3 linked regions of the Lepisosteus oculatus genome follow. The protein of the gene in region 3 interacts with the protein of the main gene of each other region in a pairwise test. Links are inferred from orthologs where the notes say so. Each region holds a gene or a part of one and is shown on either strand. Other genes may lie near its edges. The genes, in order: syt16, cert1 and rtn4a.

The links.
Region 1: the proteins of rtn4a (region 3) and syt16 interact in binary tests that used the Homo sapiens proteins (3 or more experiments, as listed by UniProt). The link is inferred for Lepisosteus oculatus from reciprocal best matches to the Homo sapiens genes RTN4 and SYT16.
Region 2: the proteins of rtn4a (region 3) and cert1 interact in binary tests that used the Homo sapiens proteins (3 or more experiments, as listed by UniProt). The link is inferred for Lepisosteus oculatus from reciprocal best matches to the Homo sapiens genes RTN4 and CERT1.

What each region holds. Positions count from the first base shown.
Region 1 is NC_090703.1:7,514,885-7,522,615, reverse strand, and holds the start of syt16 (synaptotagmin-16), read right to left. Parts: upstream 3,091-7,731; 5' UTR 1-3,090. UniProt on the Homo sapiens protein: May be involved in the trafficking and exocytosis of secretory vesicles in non-neuronal tissues. Is Ca(2+)-independent.
Region 2 is NC_090698.1:43,350,607-43,358,170, reverse strand, and holds the start of cert1 (ceramide transfer protein), read right to left. Parts: upstream 3,047-7,564; 5' UTR 2,566-3,046; coding exon 2,470-2,565; intron 752-2,469; coding exon 617-751; intron 1-616. UniProt on the Homo sapiens protein: Shelters ceramides and diacylglycerol lipids inside its START domain and mediates the intracellular trafficking of ceramides and diacylglycerol lipids in a non-vesicular manner.
Region 3 is NC_090712.1:3,327,128-3,334,817, forward strand, and holds the start of rtn4a (reticulon-4a), read right to left. Parts: upstream 3,013-7,690; 5' UTR 2,660-3,012; coding exon 2,212-2,659; intron 1-2,211. UniProt on the Homo sapiens protein: Required to induce the formation and stabilization of endoplasmic reticulum (ER) tubules. They regulate membrane morphogenesis in the ER by promoting tubular ER production.

The sequences.
Region 1 (7,731 bases), on a different chromosome or scaffold from region 3:
GTAGAGATGAGAATCCTGGGGGAGTAATGCAGTCCTTGACTACAGTGTAAGTAGGAGGAGAGGCACTGGTTACTGAGCCAGGTGACTGAACGCCAGCAGGCTCAGACTGAGACACGGGACGTGCACTGAGAATAGAGTCACTGCAGGCTGCAACATCTACATTACTTCCAAACATGCAACACAGGAGTGGATGGGTAAAGCAATCTTTGAACTACAGCCCCATTCTAACCCTTTTAAAGAAGCTTCAATCATTACTACTATATAATTCTACTCTATACCATACAAGTGAAATGATCATGGAATCTAGCATTGATAAATGAGAGGTTTGGGAATAATCCAACAAATTCATTCAGGTATGCACTTGGCTTTATATATCACTCAGCTACTAGTAACCAAATAAGTTATGATTGGGACAAAGGGCTGCCTCTTGTTTAGAACCTTTCTTCCTGTCTTCTGTTCTAAATTAATAGCATGTGTCTCAGTTCTGAAAACTCTGCTCCACGGCGCCCCATGTGGAGTTTTGGCCTGTGCGGCTAACAGCTGGCAGCCGGCAGAATTGCCCGAGAGTGCTTCCATTTCCCAGGCTGCCCTGCTCCCACTTCTCTCGCAGCGCTCATTAAACAATCTCCTGACCCAAGCCCTGCTGCGCACTGCACTCCTCCACATCGCCAGGTAACACAAACACACTCGGACTCACCCACACTCAGCGGGTGGGAAGTGCCCATTATCGCAGCCTTAATTGGGTTTAAACTGCGCTGAAAGCCCTTTGCAGGTTCACCGCTCTGTTCCTCAGAGAGGGAGTTTGCTCTCACCCAGCGCGTTGTGCACTGAGCTCCTGGCCATGTGACATCACTGCTGGCCTGTGGTGGGCGGCACAGGAACAGGAGAGCAAGCAGGGCAGTGACTCAGAGGCGTATTGTGAAGAAAAATGTGCCGAATTCAAATAAAGGGAAGCAATGTTACATCTGCATAATGCTCTTGTATGACTGTATTTCAACATTGTTCGAGAGCCTCCTCTCTTTTGTAATCTCTTATCTGTCGCCTGGCCGGGCACAGCAGATATTGGCACCATTACCTCACACTGTCAAGCGTTTGCACAGTTCTTATATTCATTCAATCTTACCGTTTAAACCATAGTCCAAACACAGCAAAAGAGACAGTGGACTGGCTGCCTCCCGTGATTATTATTTCATTTTCAAGGCAAGATCTCTTGGAAAAATGACTGACAATGCCTCTAAATTCAAGAACTTTTGGAAAACTAAAGTCAACACACATGTACTGTGCAGGTGCGACTATTTACTTAGAAAAAAAATGTGATCATGTAATGGCCAATGAAGATGTGCCTCATTCACTTCTTTACTAATATTGTGTGAGCGTGACTGGCATGTGAAATAATTCCTCAGCCTAACCTTAATGGATAATTGTGTTGAGTGTGGCTCTTTGATCTCATATAAGCTTGTATATGATAATAATGTTCACAAGCCTTGCTATTTAAACAGATGGTACAACAGGTTGATCTAGTCACCTGGTTGGTAATACCTCACTTTATCCTATTTGATTGCTCCACCTTCCTTCTTCAGAAGCTAAATTCTCTATTGTCTGTTAGACAAACACAAGACCAGAAAGTTGGTTGCAGCAGAGCACCGCTCTCATCTGCAGGACTCCAGGACTGGCTAAGATCACAATCTCCTGGAGACGAGGACACCAGGCAGGGCTGCACCCTGAACAAGACACCAGTGCGGCACAGGAGACACACACACACACGAGCACGGAGGAAAAATGTAAAGACATCAATTAACCTCGTCAACATGTTTTTGGAAGGTGGGAGAAAGCCTATGCAGAGTCAAACATGCCAATTCCACACAAAAACCCCGAATCCAAAAGCTGTGAGGCCGCAACGCCAACCACAATGCCTCCTTTCACCACGCGGCAACTGTTGTTCAGTTCTGTACTGTCAGGAAGTGAGCAGATGCATTGTGGGAAGGCACGCACTGATGAAGAGCATCAGACGACAGTGTTCACAGGCTTGTCAGGGGGGAGGATGGGAATGTCACAGCTGCAGTTAGTAATGAACATAACCCCCAACTATGCAATCAAGACCAACAACCCTATTACGCTATCTAGGGGACTATAGTCGCTTAATACACTGGTGGATAGCAGCGACCACATTTGCAAGCCCAGAAGAGGGTGCTCTGTGATTGTGAAGCATTATACAATGCAGTTAACAGAAGAATTGAGCCCCAGTAAAATACTGCAGTTGTCTTCCTCACAGGAGACCAAGGGCAAGGTCCCAGTCATTTTTAGTCATGCCAAAAAGGAACCAACTGGTTGACTCTTTGACTGTAGGATGCAGTCAACAAGGCCAGGGGATTCCCTCACACAGAATGAAACTCTGGTCAGCGTGGCAATCATTTTCAGACTCTAACAAGGGCTCACTTGTCTTTGATAATTCACCTCATCGGGACAGGTGTACATTTGTAGCAACACAAGAAAAAATTGAACCACACTCCTGAGAACTCTTAAAAACTCCTTGGAAAAATAAAATTGTTTTAACAAATAATCAACCTTATTTTCAATGGCCTGGCAATAATAACAGCTATCGGTCAGGGAGGTGCTCTTGCTCAGAGAGGGAGAGAAGATTGATTATTATTATTATTGATTATTACACTGATACAGGAGCGAGGTTCCAAAACATACCACAATATCCACTGAGGCACAGTATCCTCCAAAGTGTGCGTCTCTGAGCTGTTAAAACAGTAGAAGCGGAAATACTGTCCTCTGAATAGAGAGAAAATTAAATTATTCTGAAACTCCCATTCTTGTATGTAGCCCAAAAGCAGTACGCGGAGATCTGTGATTTATTTTTTGTTCTATGTGTTCTTCAAAGTCACAGCAAACATGACTGGAGTGAGAGGTAATTCGAGAATGAAGAAAACAATTTAAAAAGACATATTTCTACTAACAGGCTTCAGTCTGCAGTTCAGTGACTTTGCAGTGATTTTCACAGGAAGCAGACCAGAACACAGTGAGGGAGACAGTCTGCCAGTCAGCCTGACAATGACACACACAGACCCCTAGCAGACCCGACGGCCTCTTACCCAGACCCTCGTGAATCCCTGCTTTCTCTCGGGAGCGTTTCTTTTTCCTGCGGTGTTCCAGGCAGGGCAGGCCGCCGATCCTCTGGAAACAGAGCTTCTTACTGATGAAGAGGAAGAGCACAGCCAGCACCACGATGAAGACGCCCACCGCAGACAGGAAACCAATGGCCTCAGGTGTGACTACAGACAAACAGACACACAGAACAGCACTTCAGAACAGGCGAGGAGAGAAATGCTCTCGAGAGGCCATTCAGCCCATAAAGCCTGTATGGGAGGTCACTGATTCAAGGGTCTCTCTGGTTTCTTGAAGGAAACAACATGGGCAGCTTGTTCATCTCACAATCCTTTGGATAAAGATGTGCCTCCTGTTTTCAATCATAAATTCACTTCCACATAGTTTTCACTCGTTCCCTCTAGCCCATGTTTCATTGTTCAAACAGAGTACTTGGTCAAATGGGAGGCACAAACACTGGGCTCATTTTTGCACATTGAAGTGCATTCATTGTACATCTACATAGCAACTTGAATAGCCCTGTCTGCCGCAAAGCCTAAAGAGCCTGCAAGGCAGAAAATGAAATCAGATGTCATATTTCTCCACCCAGCACCACATCAAATCTTTCAGTCTGACATGATAGCGGTCAGGCAGAACACCCAAATCTGACAGGAAGACAGACTCCTCGATAAAGAGGTTCTTTACAGGACAGGCAACTCAGCAATAAGGTCACCGGCTCAGACTCTGTATCTTCTGAGGTAAGGAGCAATCTTTCTGTAGCAGATGAAAGTGAATGGATGGGAAGACTGAGGATGAGAGTCAAAGAAAACTGTCGATGTACTGCTCAGAGGTCTCATGAACCAACCAGGCTCTTCAACAAGGTACACAAGACTGTGAGCGAATGTCTTCGGGAGAGAAGACGTCTTGGACCCAGCACTGGAGCGGGTGTCTTCAGTGAGCGCTCGCCCCCTGAAGGGGAATTTTCAGAGGCTGCTGGAAACATCAAAGAGGAGCAACTGTGCTCTTCCCCGTTGCCGCAGCACGCTCCCCAGATGAGGGCTTGCTGAGAACAAACGCAGGGCGAGCGCATTATGCATTCAAACACCTCTCAGACGCTTCACGACATTTACCAGAGTCTTTGTGCCAGTGTCGTGTGGGAAGATATCTTGATTGGCGGGCAGGGAGTGGGGGTGTTGTGTAGTTTTGTGTGCGCTGACACCGATTGCCATTCTCGACTGAAGCGGTCCTGCCTACTCACAACGCTCATCTCTCGCCACAGAAGGAGAGACTGCCTGAAAGGCACAGGATCCAGTCCCTCCCTTCCATTCTCCTTCCAGTTTCTCTTTATTCCATTCCCATGGCATTTTCTGACAGCGCTTTAGCCCTGACAGATACAATAAGCCAAGGTCTCTCTTTATACTGATCCACAGTGGCTTTGTTCGAGAAATAACAGAACCGCCATCAATAATTCCTGAACGTTGTTACTGTAAAACTGCCTCTGTTCCGTTTCAAAGGATTTCAGACTGTCAATTTGTCATTCTATTGACATAGCACCACGCACACAATCCTCCCTCAGTACACATTCTATTCTTGTTTAATTTTCTTCCGCAAGCTGACAAGAAATATGAGCAAATCTAGACACTTATGAAGTCCAGACAGGTACATCAGACTTTCACAGATGTTAAGCATGATACTGTGCTTAAGCCGAATAGTATAATAATTATCGTCGGAGATGTGTCAAATGATATCTTTATTTTCTCAGGTGTAGTAATTAAAGTTCCTAACATATTTAACACATTTTCTAACATATTTTATTATCATATTTATTCCTAACATCTATAGTTACTACATGAGAGCTAGTAGGATGCAGGAGTAACTCAAAACTTTCAAGTCCTCACCAGAACAATCCTAGAATGAACCATCACTGCTCCTGTTGCAACAGGTCTCAAAGTGAGCAGCACACATTTACAGAACACTGCCAAACTGTTGGAATAGCGGTGTATCTCTCTGTCGCCGTCTCTTCAGCTACAGCAACCTCTGATTACAAAAGGGAGAGCAGGAGCAACACAGAGAGGACAGCCGTTCACAGCCAACATCAAACAATCCCACCTTTCTCTGCACTTTCCTGTGCAAGTGCTGTTTTGCTGAATTCCAGGTCTGTACCAAAGAAGCCACAAGGTCCTCTGCAACGTCCCATCTGCCGAATCACCTAGAAGACTAAATTCTCTGAAGACAGCAGTTGCCTCTAACAGACGCCGAAATATCCCACATACCGTTTCTCCCTCCAACTCGCAGGGCTGGAAAAGCAGGTCTGGCCAGTCCTTAGGGGTTTATGCTAACTCATACAAATGGCCCGTGTGCTTAAAAGTTTTCCTCTAAAAGAAAAAGGACAAAACAACCTTCACTTCCTACTGTGCGCTACATCTCCAGCTTTGAAGAAAGACAAGCCCCAGTGGGAACTGCACCCTTGTAGACTTTTGGGATCAGGAGCCCAGAGAGTTGCGGGCTGTAACCAGCCTCTGTATGGGCTGTGCTGGAATGCTGTTTGCTCTGTGATTAACAGACACCGCAGAAGGTCCTGGCTCAGTGGCAGGTGTGGTAGGTGTGTGCCGGCTGCACCTCACAGCGCAGACCCAAGCTGAGCCACGTTAACCTCGCAGCACAGAAAGGACAGGGGCTGGTCCCAGGGTGCATTGTATAGACCTGCACAAAAAAAGCATGTTATTAATTTGGAATGTTACATAATTTACTGAGAATTGAAAAGCCAAAACAAAATCTATTCTTCCTGTTAAAAAGGTATCCTTGAATCTCTCCCTTTGTCCCTGCATATCCATGAAACTGCATCAGATTTCACCCACGCCTGCAAAGCTGGGCCACATCAAACTTAGCAATGCTAATTAAATCAGGGATTTCATTTACACTACCTGTACTTTCTCCTCTCAAAAACTAAACGCAGGTTCTTTTGGGGAATTATATTCTGCACAAGACATTCATTTTCAAGGTGTTTGGGAAATGTAATTTGCTGGGAGTCAGTCACCCCTTTGTTTTCGTGCGGGGACAGTGCTCGGGTACATGGCCTCGAGTTCTTGAAATGTCAGGCTGCTATTTTTGCCAGTGCCTGTGAGAGCCAGAGGTTTGCACAAGGCCTCCCCCCTCCCGAGGAAGGCACAGTGGTCAGTTTCCCTGGTAACCGGCCTCTTCTTCCGCACAGAGTGCTTAAAAGGCAATGTCTCCATCATTCCCGCTGAAAAGGAGAGGTCTATGTTGCCATGGCACCCGGAAGTCTTGTGCGGCAGGGTGAGAGCTTAGAGGCTGGACAAGGAGGAGAGGCTGGTGTGCGGCTTTCAGGCAGGCCCTGAGGAGAGAGGCAGGCCCCGCCAGTGGCAACACCAGGCCCTGAGAGGAGGTGGGGGGATTCACATACTAGGTGACAGAAAATAATAAGTGAGGACCTCCTTGCCCCTGTGCTCATCACTGTTCCTTTTATCTGCAAACACCTTCCCCTCTGGCTGTCCTGGCTGTCCTCTTATAGACCAGCGCAGACCTCTGGCTAGGATGAGGTGCGCCCCCGCTGCCTTCTTACTTTATTCCCTTATCATACATGTCATTACCTGTGACTACGAAGCCAGTTCCCATTCTATTACTAACAGCACAGCCTTGAGGACTCGTGGCTGTGATGGAACATCTATTATAGCACAACAATGATCTGTGTGCGGATATGGATGGTGGTGGACATGCCGCATAAACAATCCCACTGCTTCACTACTGGTTTGGGTTGGCTACTTTGCAAGAAACCCCGGCGTAGAAGTGTTGCTCCTATTTCTTTGCCACTGGTTATTCACGACCGACAGCTCAAACACGCACATGCGCTTCATTAGACTGACATCACCCAAAGAGGCTTTTTCCGTCCATTTACACTCTCGTAAAGGCAAGGACCTTGGGCGGCCAAGAATACACCTAATTACCTGGCAACTGGAGAAGTGCATGGCCCTAGCAACAGCAGAACCACGGGCACGGGAGTGGTGCAGCTCCTGCTCCCGCTGTCTTTCATCCGGCCACATGGGGAGAGGACAAGAGGCCTTCACAGAAAGAATCAGGGGTACTCTGGGAGCACAGAGCGAAAAAAAGCCAAAGGCCCTGCAGCAGCTGATGAGCCACGGAAGTGTTGAAGACCCAGGGAGCACAAGGGAGTGTACAGTCTAGCAGGACTGACTGTCAGTGCTGGACAGCTCTGCCCTCACGCAGGGCTTGCAGAGGGGGAGGTGAGAGGAGGGATGGAGTGGCCGGGAGAGAGGGGTGATTTTGAAAGAGGAATGCTCAGTGGTTCAATATATGGATTTCACGCGGTGGTCTTAAAAAACACATCGGCTCATTTTCTGAAATTGAGTGAAAAAAAACAAAACATTTTCAAACCTTTAAACACTTCCGGAGTAAAAACTGTTGAAAAGCCCCTCCAAAGGTAAATAATCTAAAAGGACAAAACATTAAACGCCTAGCTCACTCCCTCTCTACATCGCTCAGATTCCCTGGGGTACTGGGAATCCTTGTTATAAACCTCACTAAAGCACAAATGCATGTTTCATCTTGTGTTTTACAGATGTGATCTGACATCTGTGAAGCATGCTGTTGGTGAGTTGGATG
Region 2 (7,564 bases), on a different chromosome or scaffold from region 3:
TGTATTTTAGAAGAATACCATTTTCTGACAGTGCATACCAGCAAAACCTGTTGCTGAAATGCCACATGCACGACTACAGGTTATTATGTAGGCTTGGATCAAAACCCCCTGCTGTTTGCACCACAGCAGTTTAATGCTTAAGGCTAAAAGGAGTGGATCTGAATACTTTGCAGAGAAGAAAGCGAGTATGGAAATTCTGAAGTGAAAAAGTGTCTCCAAAACATGTATAGTAATAGAAATAAAAACAAACTTGCAGTTACAGGAAACAGTTTGAGAGACTAGGGGATTAAATATTTGTTTTCCTAGAATTTGAACTGAAATTGACAGCGTATATTGTCCTTCACATGCTAGACAACTGGACACCAAACTGAAAGCACTTCTTGCATTCCTAGCTTAAGTGTTCCTTAAAAGACAGCTACCACCATACCAGAATCCCTTTGTGCCGCTAAAAAAAAAATGTGTTATTGAAACAGGTATAAACCACATATCAGGTCAGATGCCTTACTAAAACACCTGGAGAACCCTAAATGTCCGACTTGAAGACATACTTTATGCGGAGAAGCCTATCAGAGTAAACAATAATGCAGGCAGTAGAGAAAGCCTTAAAAGGCCTTACCGTGATGACAGCCTTACTGAGACACAGAGATCCCCTGCAGCCATATTCCCGCTCATCTTCGGACTTGTAGTAGCTCAAGGTGTTGTTTTTTAAAACCACCCAGCGATCCTGCCATCCATGGATGTAATTGGTCCACTGAAGAAAAAAACCCACAAAGGATCCTTTAAAAAATCATTTTGTATCTAAATGTTTTTTTATTATTATTGAAAAACTAGGGCTGCGAATTTCAAGTTTGCAACAGAACGTTTCGAAAAGTGTCAATGCAGTTATCGATGCGCCGATCAATAAGGAAGGGGGATAATGTCAGGTACCTACGCATTTTATTTAAACGATTAAATGAATCCATACGTCTTAATATTTATTACGTTTGTTGGTCGCTGCTTTATTTAGGGTACTTTTCTCCACTGCGCCACATGTTTAAACTCCGTCCCTGTGGGTTAAAGAATACTGTAATAAATTAACATTGACCTCAACGCTTAATTTATGGTAGTCGACAATACCTGTGAGACTAATCAAATGAAATTAAGGGTGTTCAGTCACACACACACGAGGTCGGAATCATGATCTGCACATTACTGCTCTATGATAAGGTCCGCAGGCGTGACAGGTTACGACTGGGCGTCAAATAGGAAACAAAACGGTTTTGCTGTTGACTTGTCCACATTTCACACTGATGAGATTTTGGCACGATTAATCACCGCCGGTCTTGAAAACAGCCTTTGATATACTACACATAGTGAGACTCGATTAAAACAAACATTTAAGCTGTGTCCCAGTGAAATCCAAGAGCAGGAGGTTAGAATCTGATAGGAAAATAAACCTTTTATCCAAAGTCAAGAAAGCGTTTACGATTCAGTCGGATCACGTGTTTTTTTTTTTAGACCAGGTTGTCAATTTCGCTGCTTTTCAACGCCACCCGTAACAATTCCTCAATCCTCCTCGAAGCAGAAAGTGTCGGAACTTTAAAAAAAAACAAACATTTTTATTACACTACAGGGCTCTCTCACCGAACTCCCTAAAGCAACAACTGCGCAGCCCTTTTACTCGAAAAGGCTAATCTGTTTTCGCACCAACATGCAAAAGCAGATTAGATTCATATCCAAGACATCATGTGCGGAGGAACTGAGAAGTCTTAATTTTTCCAACCCTAGTTTAATCTAAAAAACGTATGTTCACGTCCTTGCTGCTTCGGGTGCAAACAGGTTTATTTTTTCCCAATGCCACATAAAAGCAGCACACTGATCATGAATTCGATCATTTATAACACACATATGGGCCAAGTGCGTTAATACATTGGCCTCTGCTCGCTCTCCGGATTGCAGGGCGGTTGACAGACCAGATGATGCACGTGATGATGTGCGGATAAGGAAAAATATTATACGGACTAAAAGATTGCAATCAAAACTGCTTAGGCTTTTGGCTAGGCAATTACTAGCGATCGGGTGGTTTAAATCAAAGTATTCGGGAAAACAAAAAGATGGACAATGACATCCCATTACAGCATTTCGTGGAAGACTCCCCATTTCCAAAGCACTCACACAGTTAAAACAAGTCAAGACACTTTTTACATCATTTTCTGCCTGTCGATTTCGGCAAGCCGGATATTGAAGGACACGAGAACAAACGTAAACGATTTTATTTTCTGACCGATCTCTTCGGCAGTTTGAAATCCCTCTAAGCCAAAGTCTGAACTGAAACAGAAAATTGACGACGGCGAACCCCTTGCCGTTTAAGAGACGGGGGACGGACCCTAGCCATCCGAGCCACTAACGCAAAACCATTCCTCCATTTATCGGGAATTTTAGAGTGCAAACCTGGCGTTGGGATTTGATCTCCCCCACCCGCTGCCTCACCTTGCTAAGGATCCCACCGAGCTCAACAGGCGGCCCGGATTCGGTTTCCAAATCCTCCTCAGACCCCGAGGAATTCCAGCTCTGATTGTCCGACATCGCGTCTCGGCGATAACAGAACGCAAAATCCAAATACGAGGGAATCACAGAAGTGCTAAACAGTCTGCGAAACTCAGACAGACAAAAAAAAAATCCCAAGGGAAAAAAAGAGAACGGGGTTTCGGTAAATGCGAGACAACACTGGTCAAAGGCGATGACTGCTGATACACCTGGATAAAAACTAATAACACTTATTAATGATCCTCTCGGCAAAACCCGCCCCCTTCATCGGTTTCACTGAAGCTGTGAAAAAGCACAACGGCGAGGAAAGAGTCACAACTTCAGCAGCTAAAACAACACTCGTCCAAGTCCACGGGAGAACTGGTTTAAATGCGCAAATCCCTCTCTCCGCTCCTCGACAGAGCCCTGTGTTAAACGAGCTGAGTGTGAGAAGGGGGCGAGACCGACTGGCCTAAACAGACGCCATCTTTTCTGACGTCCCTCGCTCTCCTGCCCTCCTGAGCGTGCGTGTGCTGCGCGTGCCACGGACAGTGGAGGGGCGCTGGCTCTGAAGCTGACGTCACGGGAACCATCCCGGCTGGGGAGGTGAACCTATTAGGAAGTGTCATTCGGGAATCGATGTCTAAGTGGCAACGGTTGTCAAGGATGTCACTGGGGCGCGGGCAGTGGCAAGGGCTGTTTTTGCTTCTCTCACACTTTCGAGGATTAGTTTACAGGCATGAATGGGTGTTCATGCGCACTCTGCTACTCCCTATTTCTGTCGCTTGTGTACAGGGTGGTAGGCGTCACTTAGCCTTAATTTCTGCCCATTTCCGAAAGGACAGTCTCCCCAGAGTGCATTCTCTCGCAACGCCTATGATAAGAGCGTACATGTTGGTTTGTCAGGATTAAGAGATAAACTTTGCAAATGCATTGGTTTAGCACATTTCGGAAACCCAGAGCTGCTGACAAGCGTAAAAAACGCAATAGTTTTATTCAGACTGCCTAATTTTTCCATATGTTTAAGAGATTAAACTGGCACTGACTGCCGGTGAAGATTGTATTAGCATGAATTAAAATAAAATTATTCTGAAAACTGCTGAAAGGCGTTATTTTATGTTATTTTATACCTAATATTATTTTACAAATGGGATTTTATTTAAATTGATAATATCATTTAAATAAAGCTGGAGGATTAAAATGAAAATTTTCAATATGTAAAGCTAATAATGCAAAAATAGAAGACTGTAAAAAGGGCATGTGCATTTTTCGCTACATTTATCTGCCCTCAACAAATATGTCTGTTACTGGCTCAGGAGGAGGCGTGGTAGCGGAAACGCGAAAGCCTCTGCGCCAGCCAGCCTCCGGATTTCAGGAAGTTGACATTGTATTTTATTGGCGCTTAAAGAAACGTTTTAAATTTGAATTGAAGAGAAGCAGAATGTACAACTATAATAAGTAAAGTGTATGGGTATTTACACGTAAGACATGTAAAACATAGGCTGCTAATTGTACAGCGTAATGTTGCTTACCAAGGTAAATAAGTCATCTTTTCATTTGTTTTCTTTTGTGATAGTGTTTTAATTAAGTACTGAAGATGTTTACACGGATGGAAGAAAAAAATCTCCTTTCTGAATTTCGAAAATGTAAAATGACACAAAGTGTAAAATAATGTCTGGCTCGACTGATAGTGGCATCTTGTCCAACGTCTCCACGTTTACTGACACTTTCGCTCCAGCCGTGAAGGATCGAAGTTGCTGTCAGTTAAAATTTGAACTGTAAACCTCTGCTGAAATGAAAGTCCAGACAGCTCCATTACTGCACTTAAGACGGGCTTTTCTATAATACCCCCCAAAAGAACTGTTGAAGCATTGATCGTATTCCATCATTAATATTAAGCTAAAATAGCAGATTTGTTATTAATATAGACCCAAATTACTGCATTAGCAGATGCTTTTGATGTTGTAGCAGAGTAGGTGGTTAATAGTTTGCACTTTAGAGAGAGAACCATATTAATTTGTAATGATGTGACTGTTTTTAACAGCTCATAATAGCTAACTGACTTTTTAAGTACCGTGTCTATGAATAATGTAGGAGAAAAACGCGTTTGCAACTTGATAATGCTCTCTTTCAATGTACGGGCGAGCCATGTCTTTTCAAACAAGTTTATGTTTTTTTCTACAGTGAGTCGTGGATCTATCGATATTCTTGGTGGAATACTTGTGAGAAAAGAGTTTTCAAATAGTAAGTATTTTTCCAAAAAAAAGTCTAAACCTTTCCATGTGGTAAACGGTAAAATTTACCATTTGATTAATACTGTAACGCATACGGCCACCATTGCAGGTTGTTCCATCCGACTTACCAGCGCAGTTCTGAGGGAGATTTCCCTTTAGCTCAACTGGCTGGCTCCCTGTCGAGTGACGCCGGAGGCCCGGGTTCGAGTCCCCGACGGTGGGGGGCCGACCTGAGGCTGCAGCGGCGAGAGCGCATACTCCCGTGAACCCAAGAGCGCCACGATACTTTTTTTCTTGCCTTAGCAAAATTTTCAAAGATCTGTATTTCATTGTAATTTCCATATTCTGAAATGGTTTTTTTTGCAGTTGTTTAGTAAAATCTGATATAAAATGGTAAAAACAAGACACTTTCATCTAGTGTTACAGTCTCAGTCTCACAATATTAAGTGTTGTACTGTAACTTGATCTGTTAAACAAAGCACAAGAAGCCTTTGAGTGTAGAGTGTGGTACACAACATCTTTGTTAAATGAACTATAAAAGACTATACATTTATAGCAATGGAGCAGCATTGTGTTATAGACTTTTATGCTTCTGTTTTATAGCTCTTGGTTCATAGATTTGGGTCTGGCCTTGGCTGCTGTGTATACGGAATTTGCATGTTCTCTCTGGTTGTGTTTTTGCTGGGTTTCCTCCCACAGTTCAAATATATTCTGTCTAGATGAATTGGCATCACTAACCTAACCCCATTACACCTGTGTGAGTGTGCCATGTAATGGATTATCATCACATTCGGAATGTAGTTCTGCCTTGTGCCCTGTGTCTGCTGCACTATCCATTGGATCGCTGTGTTCCTCTAAGAATAAAGTTACTAAAAACGTAGGAATTAATACCAGTGACTGCTTAGTTTCAGAACTGCAATATTTGGGTTACAATATTTGAGCATATGGAAAATTGGTTAATGGTCTCATACTATAAGAGTACAAAAAAGATCTATTGGGTTTAGCTATATAGATTCAAATAAATTCATTCAAATCAAAGCTAAAATTTAAAAAAGCTATTTTTTAAATAGTCATAGTGCAGAAGGACTGGTAAGGTTCTTTTTTTACTGGAAAGTGCTTTGGGGAAAAAAGGGGGCTTAAAGAGTTTCTGAAGGGTGCACTTTGTGTTTCAAGTTAATAAACTCTTGATTAATGTTGCAGTACTTGGAAGCAAAGTAAAAACTTGCTAATTAATGGTATTCTAGTCATGATTCTGGTCGCCTTTGATGCAGCAAGAGTTAGATTACACTAGGCAGAAGGAATGCTTTAATATAATTGTGCTATTGACAGACCAATCTCTGATGAACGTTATTACAGAAATTATAGGATTTGCATCCAAGCGATGTACTGGAAATGTATAAAGAGAATCCTATTATGTAAGACTCATTTAAAAATCTTGAGATGTAAGCTGGATTTAGTACTGATGGTTTTAACAGGCTTAAAATAATGAAGGTTGTCCTGTTGCAAAATAGTTCAACATCTGTTTCACTATGTTACAGTATAAACAGAATTAAAGCTTAATGAATAGCACAGTGTACACTTCTTTAATAATTAATCAAAGAGCTTTTTTGTGTGTAGTTGCACTGAAACAAAAGATCACTGTACAGATTAGAAATTGACTCAGTTTGTGCTTTAGAAAAGCATAGATACTGGCTGTTAGTGACTTATTAGGTTTTGCAACCCCCCTGCCATACAGTATTACAAGAATGGATGTTGAAACAGAATGCATGGTTTTTAGCCTGACAACTCACCACATACCAAACAGGACGTTTTCCTTCTGTTTTTCTCCTCAGGAAACAGGAATGTACAGTATGCAAAGTTACACAAACAGAATATTATGTGAGATGTCAGATTCAAAACTGTCAGAACATAAGCAAACAGACAAATAGTTTGAGTCATATTTATAGCACATTAGTCTATTTTCTGTTGTTGAAAGAAAACAGCCTTCCAGTATTTAGCTGATAATTCCCAAATAAAAAAAAAAAGATTAATAATACGTGGAAAGTGAGTACTGTAGGTTTTTGTTGGCATTTGGTGTTTTGGTGTTTGTACTGTAGCTGTATGCAACTGTTTTTGCACTTATCAAATTACATAAATATGACCCTGCCTTACACTCCCTGCTTTGACTGTTGCTTTAGTCCTCCGTTTGAAAATTGACCTGAATAACGATGGATTTCCCTTGATGATGGGCTAAGAGAATAAAATGATGGCTTTTCTTTGTCTTTTCATCAATTCATTGCTTCTCAATCTGAGTGTCCAAGGGTTGGGTTAATTTTATTTTTGTCTATGTAATTGTCGTGACCAATTCATGGTGAATCTCTTTTCCTGCAGTACTGTTTTTTAAATACATTTAGGATTGCCAGTTATTTCTGTTTTACACAACCGATTCACCTATGGTGTGTTGTGGACACCTTGACTGGTAGCTGTGATCCCAGTGACTGCACTCTGGGAGAATGAGGAAGCCTAGGCAGACTCGTCTGACCAAGCCACTTTCGAGCTACTCTGAATGAGCTGTCTCCCTCGTTGACAGTACAGCAAACTCCCAGTAGGATTATACTGAGAATTGAGAGAACCCCCAACTAATCCCAATCTAATCTCAGCAGCTCTCAGCATCTTCTAAAGGCGCTTCAGAAACTAAAGTGTAAAAAAGATAGTTGAAATCAGTCTGGTTTCAAAACTGAGATTTTTTAAATATAAATGAGATGTGACTGCCATTCTCTTGTGAAGGACATGTACTACATCTATTATCGATTCCCATTCTACTATTAACATGCGACTACTACTTA
Region 3 (7,690 bases):
AGTCACGCTACATGCACTCAGATAATCTGAGGGTCTGCAGCTGATGATTATATTAGTTTGGTCCTTAGAAACCCAGTAAACACAACAAACTGCTAAATGGCATGACCTCTGAAAAGCCAATCAAGGTGGCAAAGTTATTGAGAATTAACCCTTTTCCCTGAACTGGCTAGGCAACATCACCCACAGGCCTTCAGAACCAACCGTCTCGACATTATTATATAAAGTATAAAACATGAAACGCCATTTTTAACTGAATTTGTCCAAATGGGTTTTCTGTGTCCTGTTGAGCTAGGTACGGCATTTTCATGAAGCTCCTAAATCTGGCCCAAAAAAGCACATAAGAGCAAAGTCTCTCTTCTAAACCCGAAATTTGGGTAGAGGAGGAGAAGCAGTTTAATTGGAAAAAAAACGTGTAACATGCTTACAGAACATATTACATGAATGCCTTGTAAACGAGCCTGCATGAACAGAAGTCCTACATTGGAAGGAGCTGAAGAAAACATGTGCAGCATGTGAAACTGGTGTAGGTACATATGCATCAGCAGCTACAGTACAAAGGGATTATGGAAGATAAACAGATCAAGGCCAAATCCCCTGGGCTTTAAAACAATACCCTGAGAAGCACTGGAGACAGAATACTGTGGCTATCTGCCTGCCTTGGAGAAAGTCTAATTCATATCCCTATGATTGCACTTTTTTTTTTAATACGATTGTTTAGACGCATAGGGCGGTGTGTCAATTGAAAGAACGAGAGGTATTTTATTGTAAATAATTAAACAAATAAGGAGTAGCCGAGCATGTGCTTATCTGTGGGATCGTATATTACGGCCCCTGTCGGCCGCAGAGCATGACATCACCCACTAAAACAAAGCCGGCGCCGGAGGTACCCCTCCCCGGCGCGGGGTACAGCGCGGATATCAAGAAGCCACAGGTTTCGCCTGGATGATATGATGAGGTCTTTCTTTCCCTTAAAGAACATGTGCGGGATTCTCATTTCTGTCTGGCCGCTCGTCCGCTGTTTCCGTATGGAGACTACTTTCCTGTCGGAGATCATTTTGTTGCAGACACACCGCACCCGCCTCTCCAAGGCCGTGGGCGCAGACTGGCGCTGCAGTCTGCTCGGCGTCGGAGCAAGCCCAGCCCGGCCCACCACCAGGGCCTCCTGACCTGTGCGCCTGCTGTCGCCTCCCCCCCAGATACTGCGCTACACCTCTCTCACCCCCCCCAGAAAAGCCAGCAGCTTAATCACTTCACACACAGATCAGCGGGGGGGTCGGGTCCCAAACAGCGTCCCCAGGGCTACAGCTGGCCAAATCTGCGCCCCCTCCCCCCCGGGGGGGCTGTCTGCTCGGGCCATCTCACTCCCAGCACCTGTCGGACCCACGCCCATCGGTCGATCCACCCCGGAACACCGGACCCGAACCGGATCGGGATGTCGGGTCCGAGTGCAGCCAGCCAGCCGCCTCGCCGAGACAAGAGCCTGGCCGGCATTATAGCGCATCAGTCAGGAGGGAGGGGGAGTCCCGTCGTCAGCAAAAGAATTACAAAAAAACATCTTTTGACGGCCGCGACGGTCTGTGCAAGCTCTCCCCGGTATGGGACTACGCCATAGCAACTAAAACACACACAGACAAGACACAGACAGGTCCTTATCCCGACCCCCTGATTACATCTCGACCACCCAGGAGCTGGAGAAAAATGGCTGCTGACTCAGGGACAATTCACCCCCCCAAAACAACCCCAAAACGAACTACCACCCCCCCCAGACACACACAGGACGCGATCCTAAAATACTGTGCAAAAGGGGCAAACAACTATCTCATCTCTCTCAGCCGCGCACTGCGTTTCCGTTTGAGAAGGAGCCGTTAGCGGCTGCGGGTCCCCCGGATCCCCCGCGTCTCGCCGGGGCGACACAGGTGGGCAGCACCGGCGTGAGAGTCATCGGACCGCGCTTCTCCGGGCCACCCCCCGCCTCGGGAACGCGGCATTGAAGTTGTGCTTTATTTGTGCAATAATACAGGAACACAAACACACACGCGACAAAGGCTCCCGGCTCCTCGGGCGCAGCCACGGCCATTGTCTAGCGCCCCAACTTCCGCGAGACAGAAGTGCGGCCCCCCCAGGGGCCGTGGGCCGGGTGAAGTACCCACCCGCTTCAGACACGCCTAAATTAAACTGTCTTTTTCCTCCGAAAGGGGCACCGGTGCTCACCTGGGGAGGAGGCCGCCGAGGAGGAGGAGGAGGAGGCGGGAGAGGGGTCGCTGGCCGGGCTCCGCGGGGCGGCTCTGGGCGGCTCCGGTTTCGGGGGGCTATCGGCCGCCTGCTTCACCGAGGGCGCCCCGAAGCCGCCCATCCCCGTCAGCAGATCGCCGGGCTCGGCCGCGGGGGCAAACTCCGAGTAGAGGTCCCTGTCCGGGTCCCCGGTCCCCGGCGGGGTGGCGGAGCGGTGCCGGAGGAGAGCATCCCGGGCGCCGCCGGCCAGGTCGAGGATATCGTCGTCGGCCAGCGGCCTGGGCGAGCCGCCGCCGCTCTCCTGCAACAGATAGCCGGCGGCTTCGTCGTACAACTTGCTCTCGTCCATCTTGTCGGGGTCCCCCTGAAGTTTGCGGAGTTCATCGACGCCGGGCGTCGTGGACGAGATGTGCTGCGCGTCTTCCATTTCCTCTTTCGTGTCCGGAGTCGCCCCCTGTGTAGCCCTTCTTTATAAGGTGTGTACCCAAGATTTTCCCCCCCACACACACACCTTTCTAGTGAAAGTGCTCCTTTTTTTTCTCTCTCTCTCTCTCCCCCCCCGAGTAGCTGCGCTGGGCTGGCTAGTCGCTGCCTTCCGGCGGAGATGAACTGAACAAGTGCGCCACGGCCACGAGAGCGTAGGACAGAACAGGGAGCCTCTCGCACGCGCAACGCGCCACACTGCGGTGCCCGGAGGAGCCCTTCAGCGGACCTCGGCCAATCAGCGCGCCGATCTCGGTTGACTGACGTCCGCCCCGACCAACCCGGCTCTTCCTCCCTCCCCCCTCCCAACTATTTTTCTACCGCCCCGCCACGAAGGTGAGGGCCGAACAAAGGACCACGCCCATCCCCCGGCTCCCACCAATCTGCAGCGGTTTCAATCTCCGGTGTCGTTGGGAGTTTTGCTTAGTAACGCGGCTGTAACCACGGAAGACGAGGATACGTGAAAAGTGTGACAAAGCAGATCGAAAGTTATCTGCAACATTTCTTGTAGCGAAAAGCGTGCATTTTTTTCCCCAAGATGTTATAAAACGCCGGTACCACCACTGGCAGGTTTCACGGGCCTAACCTTCGCTGTTAAAGTAAATAATTAACGATATACAGTCCTGCGTGTAGGCTGTGATCGATAAAGGCTCTGGCGATATTGTCAGTGCGCCATAAAAAGGAGATGTTCCAGTTATTGTAGCTGATAAAGCAGCAGTGAGAGACAGACCGTGTAGTAAAGACGTATTCAAACCTTGGAAGAGAAGATAAATGAATTCCAGTCGTATTATAACATTCCAGTCGTTATAACAAGCTATAACGTATTATAGCTTTTTTTTTACCGTCATCCCAAAAGAGGTATTTCTGTATAGTATTGGTCACCTTGACTGCACTCGGTGACCTCATAGACTTCCCCTCTGTTACATCAGCTCATCTAATTACTGGATGACTCCGAAAAAAAGAGCCAGAATTATGAGAGCTGACACACAGCTGTGTCCCTTCAAGTTTACAAAAGGGAGCTCGTTAAATATTTAGGTGATTAAGAAAATCTGTATGTTCCTGTGGGTCAGTTCCTGGCCTTTTGGTGTGGGCAATGCCCACTGTTTTTCAATTCGGAGAGCTGAGAAAGAATCCACGTGAGTCCTCGCTGATTGTGACACACTGCAGATGTCTGCAGTTACAGTTGTAAGAGCTGCCTTGCTCTTCAGCTATTTACAATACAAACTTGGCCTGGGTCTCCATTATACTGAGACGTAAACAGCAGCAGTGAAGCCTGACACATTGGCAAATGAATGAGCCATTAACAATAGCTTTCATTTTTAATTCATCTCTCTTTGCCTCTCTGCGTTTGGGTTAATTTTACTGACAGCTGCCGATACAACCCCCTTTTTTTTGTTTTCAGCCATTCATTTTCTCTGCTGTGCCTGCAGACATGTGCTCTTTCAGTGCGCGTTCCTCTTTGTAAAGTGGCTCGAGGCCAGTCTTTTCTCTGCTGTACGATGGGCCCTGCGAGTCTGTGCTGTTTGGATAGGAAGACGCCAGCACTGAAACTCACCAACACCTGAGCTTGAACACAAACAGACACAATGGGGTTGTGGGAGCCCGGAACAAGCTAGCCAGCCCTGTTGTTGAAGCTGATACCCCAGAGGTCTTAAAGAGACAACTGGACGAGATCCAGGGTGTTTCTTGAAAAGAGTAGGGGTGTTACCCCAGTGTCCTGGCCAAAGTTCCCCCTGACCTTTACCAGTCATGATCTCCTAACCCCCATCTCTGAACTGGCTTCATCACTCTGCTCTCCTCCCCACTGAGAGCTGGTGTGTGGGGAGTGTACTGGTGCACTATGGCTGCACACTGGTGGTGGTGGAGGGGATCCCCATTACCTGTAAAGCACTTTGAGTGTAGAGTCCAGAAAAGCGCTATATAAGTTTAAGGAGTTTATTATTACAAACAATCTAGATGGGCTGAAAGGCCTCCTCTCATTAGTAACAAGTAACGGGCGGAGCGAAGGCTAAGGATCTGTGCCTGTGACTGGAAGGTTGCCGGTTCAAATCCTGCAGCCGGCAGAGGAATCCTACTCTGTTGTCCCCTGAGCAAGGCCCTTAACCCCAACTGCTCCAGGGACGCTGTACAATGGCAGACCCTGTGCTCTGATCCCAAGCTTCTCTCCCTGTATATGTGTCTGTGTCTCATGGAGAGCAAGCTGGGGTATGTGAAAAGCCGAATTCCTAATGCAAGAAATTGTATAGGGCTAATAAAGCAACATTAACATTATTACATTAACTCTTCCCATGTTTTGATGATGCACGGGGCAGACATCCACCTCTACAGTTTGTGCAGATATACTGTATTGTTTATCGTAATGTGACATACAAAGACTCGTGCCCTGTGGTTACCTCTGTCACCTCTGTGCTGGTCCAATACTGGGACTACGAGGCATTTCGAAAGCCAAGTCCCTTTCCCCCGCAACAGGCTGTTTCTCGTATTGTAACAGAAATAGCTGCGGTCTAAACTGAGGCACCAGGGCTATTTTTAGGGCTCAGATCTTTCGACTCTATAAGAGATAGAGCCCCTGCTGACAGTACGTACTGCAACGTTGAGAGATGCACTGAACTACCCCTCCATCTTGGGGGCTTTGTTTTGCGTGATTCTCTGTTCCGTCCTCTGCAGTCTCTCCCCAGAAGAGTGTGAAAGTTGCCCTATCTGTGTACATATGACCACAACTTCCCATTATCCCACCCTAGACTGTTGCACCACATACAGTGCATGCTGGCTGAGTTACACACACATCTGTCCTGTGTATCTCTGCCGCACATGTGCTTAACAGATATCCGGTTCCCCAATCCAGTAATTCAAACTGATTGCTTTCTGCCAGCAGTTTAAAACCAATCAACACCTTTATCCAGCAGCCCCAGTTTGTGTTTAATCATTCCTTTTATCTCCTTACTCTGTGCCACACACAGCTCCATGGCCTTTCCACAATAGACAGTGACCACTGTCGCTGGGTTCCAGTTTGCTTGTTCTGGATATGAGCAGTGGGCCCAGTTGCTGATCTAACCAGTTTCCAAGAAGGACTTTGGCCGAAGAACAAAATCTCCAAGTAAAGATACAGTGGAAGTAAAAATAAATTAGAGAGACATACACGTCTTAAAACAACATGTGGCAATAAGGCTTAAGCTTACAAGTACGTTGTTTTTACAGTAGTTCAGGTGGGGAGCTGCGTCAGCATGCGTAGGCTGCAAGGGAACAAGTAATAGGTTTATTCCCTGCTGAAAAGAGAAGAAAAAAAACACAATGTTTTGGATGTGAAGCCTTCTTCAGGTGTGAGTTGTTTTAACTACTTACTACAATACTGCCTCATCAAAGCTCATGCCAGCTTCACCTTACAGCATTTACAGCATTAAAACTCTTAACTCTTAATGTCTTGTTTTACATGTCTCGTGTGCAAAAATCTCTCCCTCCGACACCTTTATTTCCAAAAGCAGCAGTGAACCAATCACAGAAGCATTCCAGCCCCGTAACACAGATATGAAAGGCTAAGAGCTCTGTAGATATCTGTGGTGTTGTGGTGTTGAGTCACAGGACTCCTGTCACGGACGTCCAAAGGGGCTACCCGAGGGCAGCAGGAGAGCGGAAAAAGATCCATTTGCGTAGCGGCGAGACGGGAAAAAGGCCCGTGCTCGTAGTGCAAAGAGTTCAGGAATGCCGTATAGAAACCTATGCCCTCAGGTAGCGGACGTGGGGCGACCTGGTGCTAGGCGGGTCTCAGGACATCCGAACATCAATGCTGAGCCCCGGCAGAGTGCAAGACCCGGAAAAATATAGCCCAAGGGAAAGAGAGGGACCGGAAGGACAGCAGACCAGAAACTAGGGACAGGACAGAGAAGGAGCGCCCTCTGGCTACAGAGGGCGTGACAACTCCAACATCAAACACTTCTGGAGTGAGTGGAGGACAAGATCATTTATGTAGCTGATTCTTTTCAGTTTTGTCCTTTTAATAATATTTATTTCTGCATGTATATGATTCCAAATGTTACTACAGTTATTTGCTAAAGCTCAAAGACACGCCCATCCTATCCCTTAACTCTGAAAACAAATAAGACATTTTTGAACCATACTGACCAGGACTGGAATGGGGTTCATCCTTCCAGGGGTCCTTGGCTGAACAATTGAACTGCTTCAGCTTTTCATTGGTTATCAGAGTCAATAACATGGCAGATATCTTGAAAGGCAATGGGAGTGTTATGGTCAGGAGTTCATGGTACTGATGCACCTAGCAAAGAGCGGCTCACCACCACCTCACCCAGATCTATCAGTCATCCATCTATCGATCATCTCCCATGTCAATAATCACCATGTACCGTAGCCCTTTCATTAATTGCATTTCATGAATCGCTTTTCATCTCCAAGGATCCTTATACACGTTGCATATCAGAGCACACCCACTTCATCCACCACTGAGCGCCCACCAGGACGACTCTCCATTCTTAACTAAGCTGTCTTATTCTACCGGCTCAGTCCATTTTTTCATATTAGAGTCTATTCCACACCCTTATCAATGTCGTTTTACACAAGCGCAGGGAGACTAGGCTGGGAATTATTTTTTGTTATGTTAAAGTCCCTTCAGGGACATTGGCAGTTCAGCTTGGCTTGGTTTTTGGGCGTAACCTATCCAGAGTGTTTACAGTGCTTAGAGTCACTGTGCTGTGTTTTGACGCGTAACGAGGCCCAGAGCTTAGGAACTTGCTCGGCCATGTGGATGACGCCTGGTTGGGCATTTCAGTGGGTGAGAGCGGGTGCAACTTTTGCTCTGCGTGCTGAGAGCGTCTGTCAGGTAAGTTGAGCCTAAGACTAAATCCATCTGGTCCTCTTGCTCTTGTCGTACAGCAGCCAGTCTCTCTATTCAGAGGTTGCGTTTGCTCTATTGAAAAGGGCTGGTGGTGCTGGAGATTCACAGCTTAATGGTCCAGCCACCTGT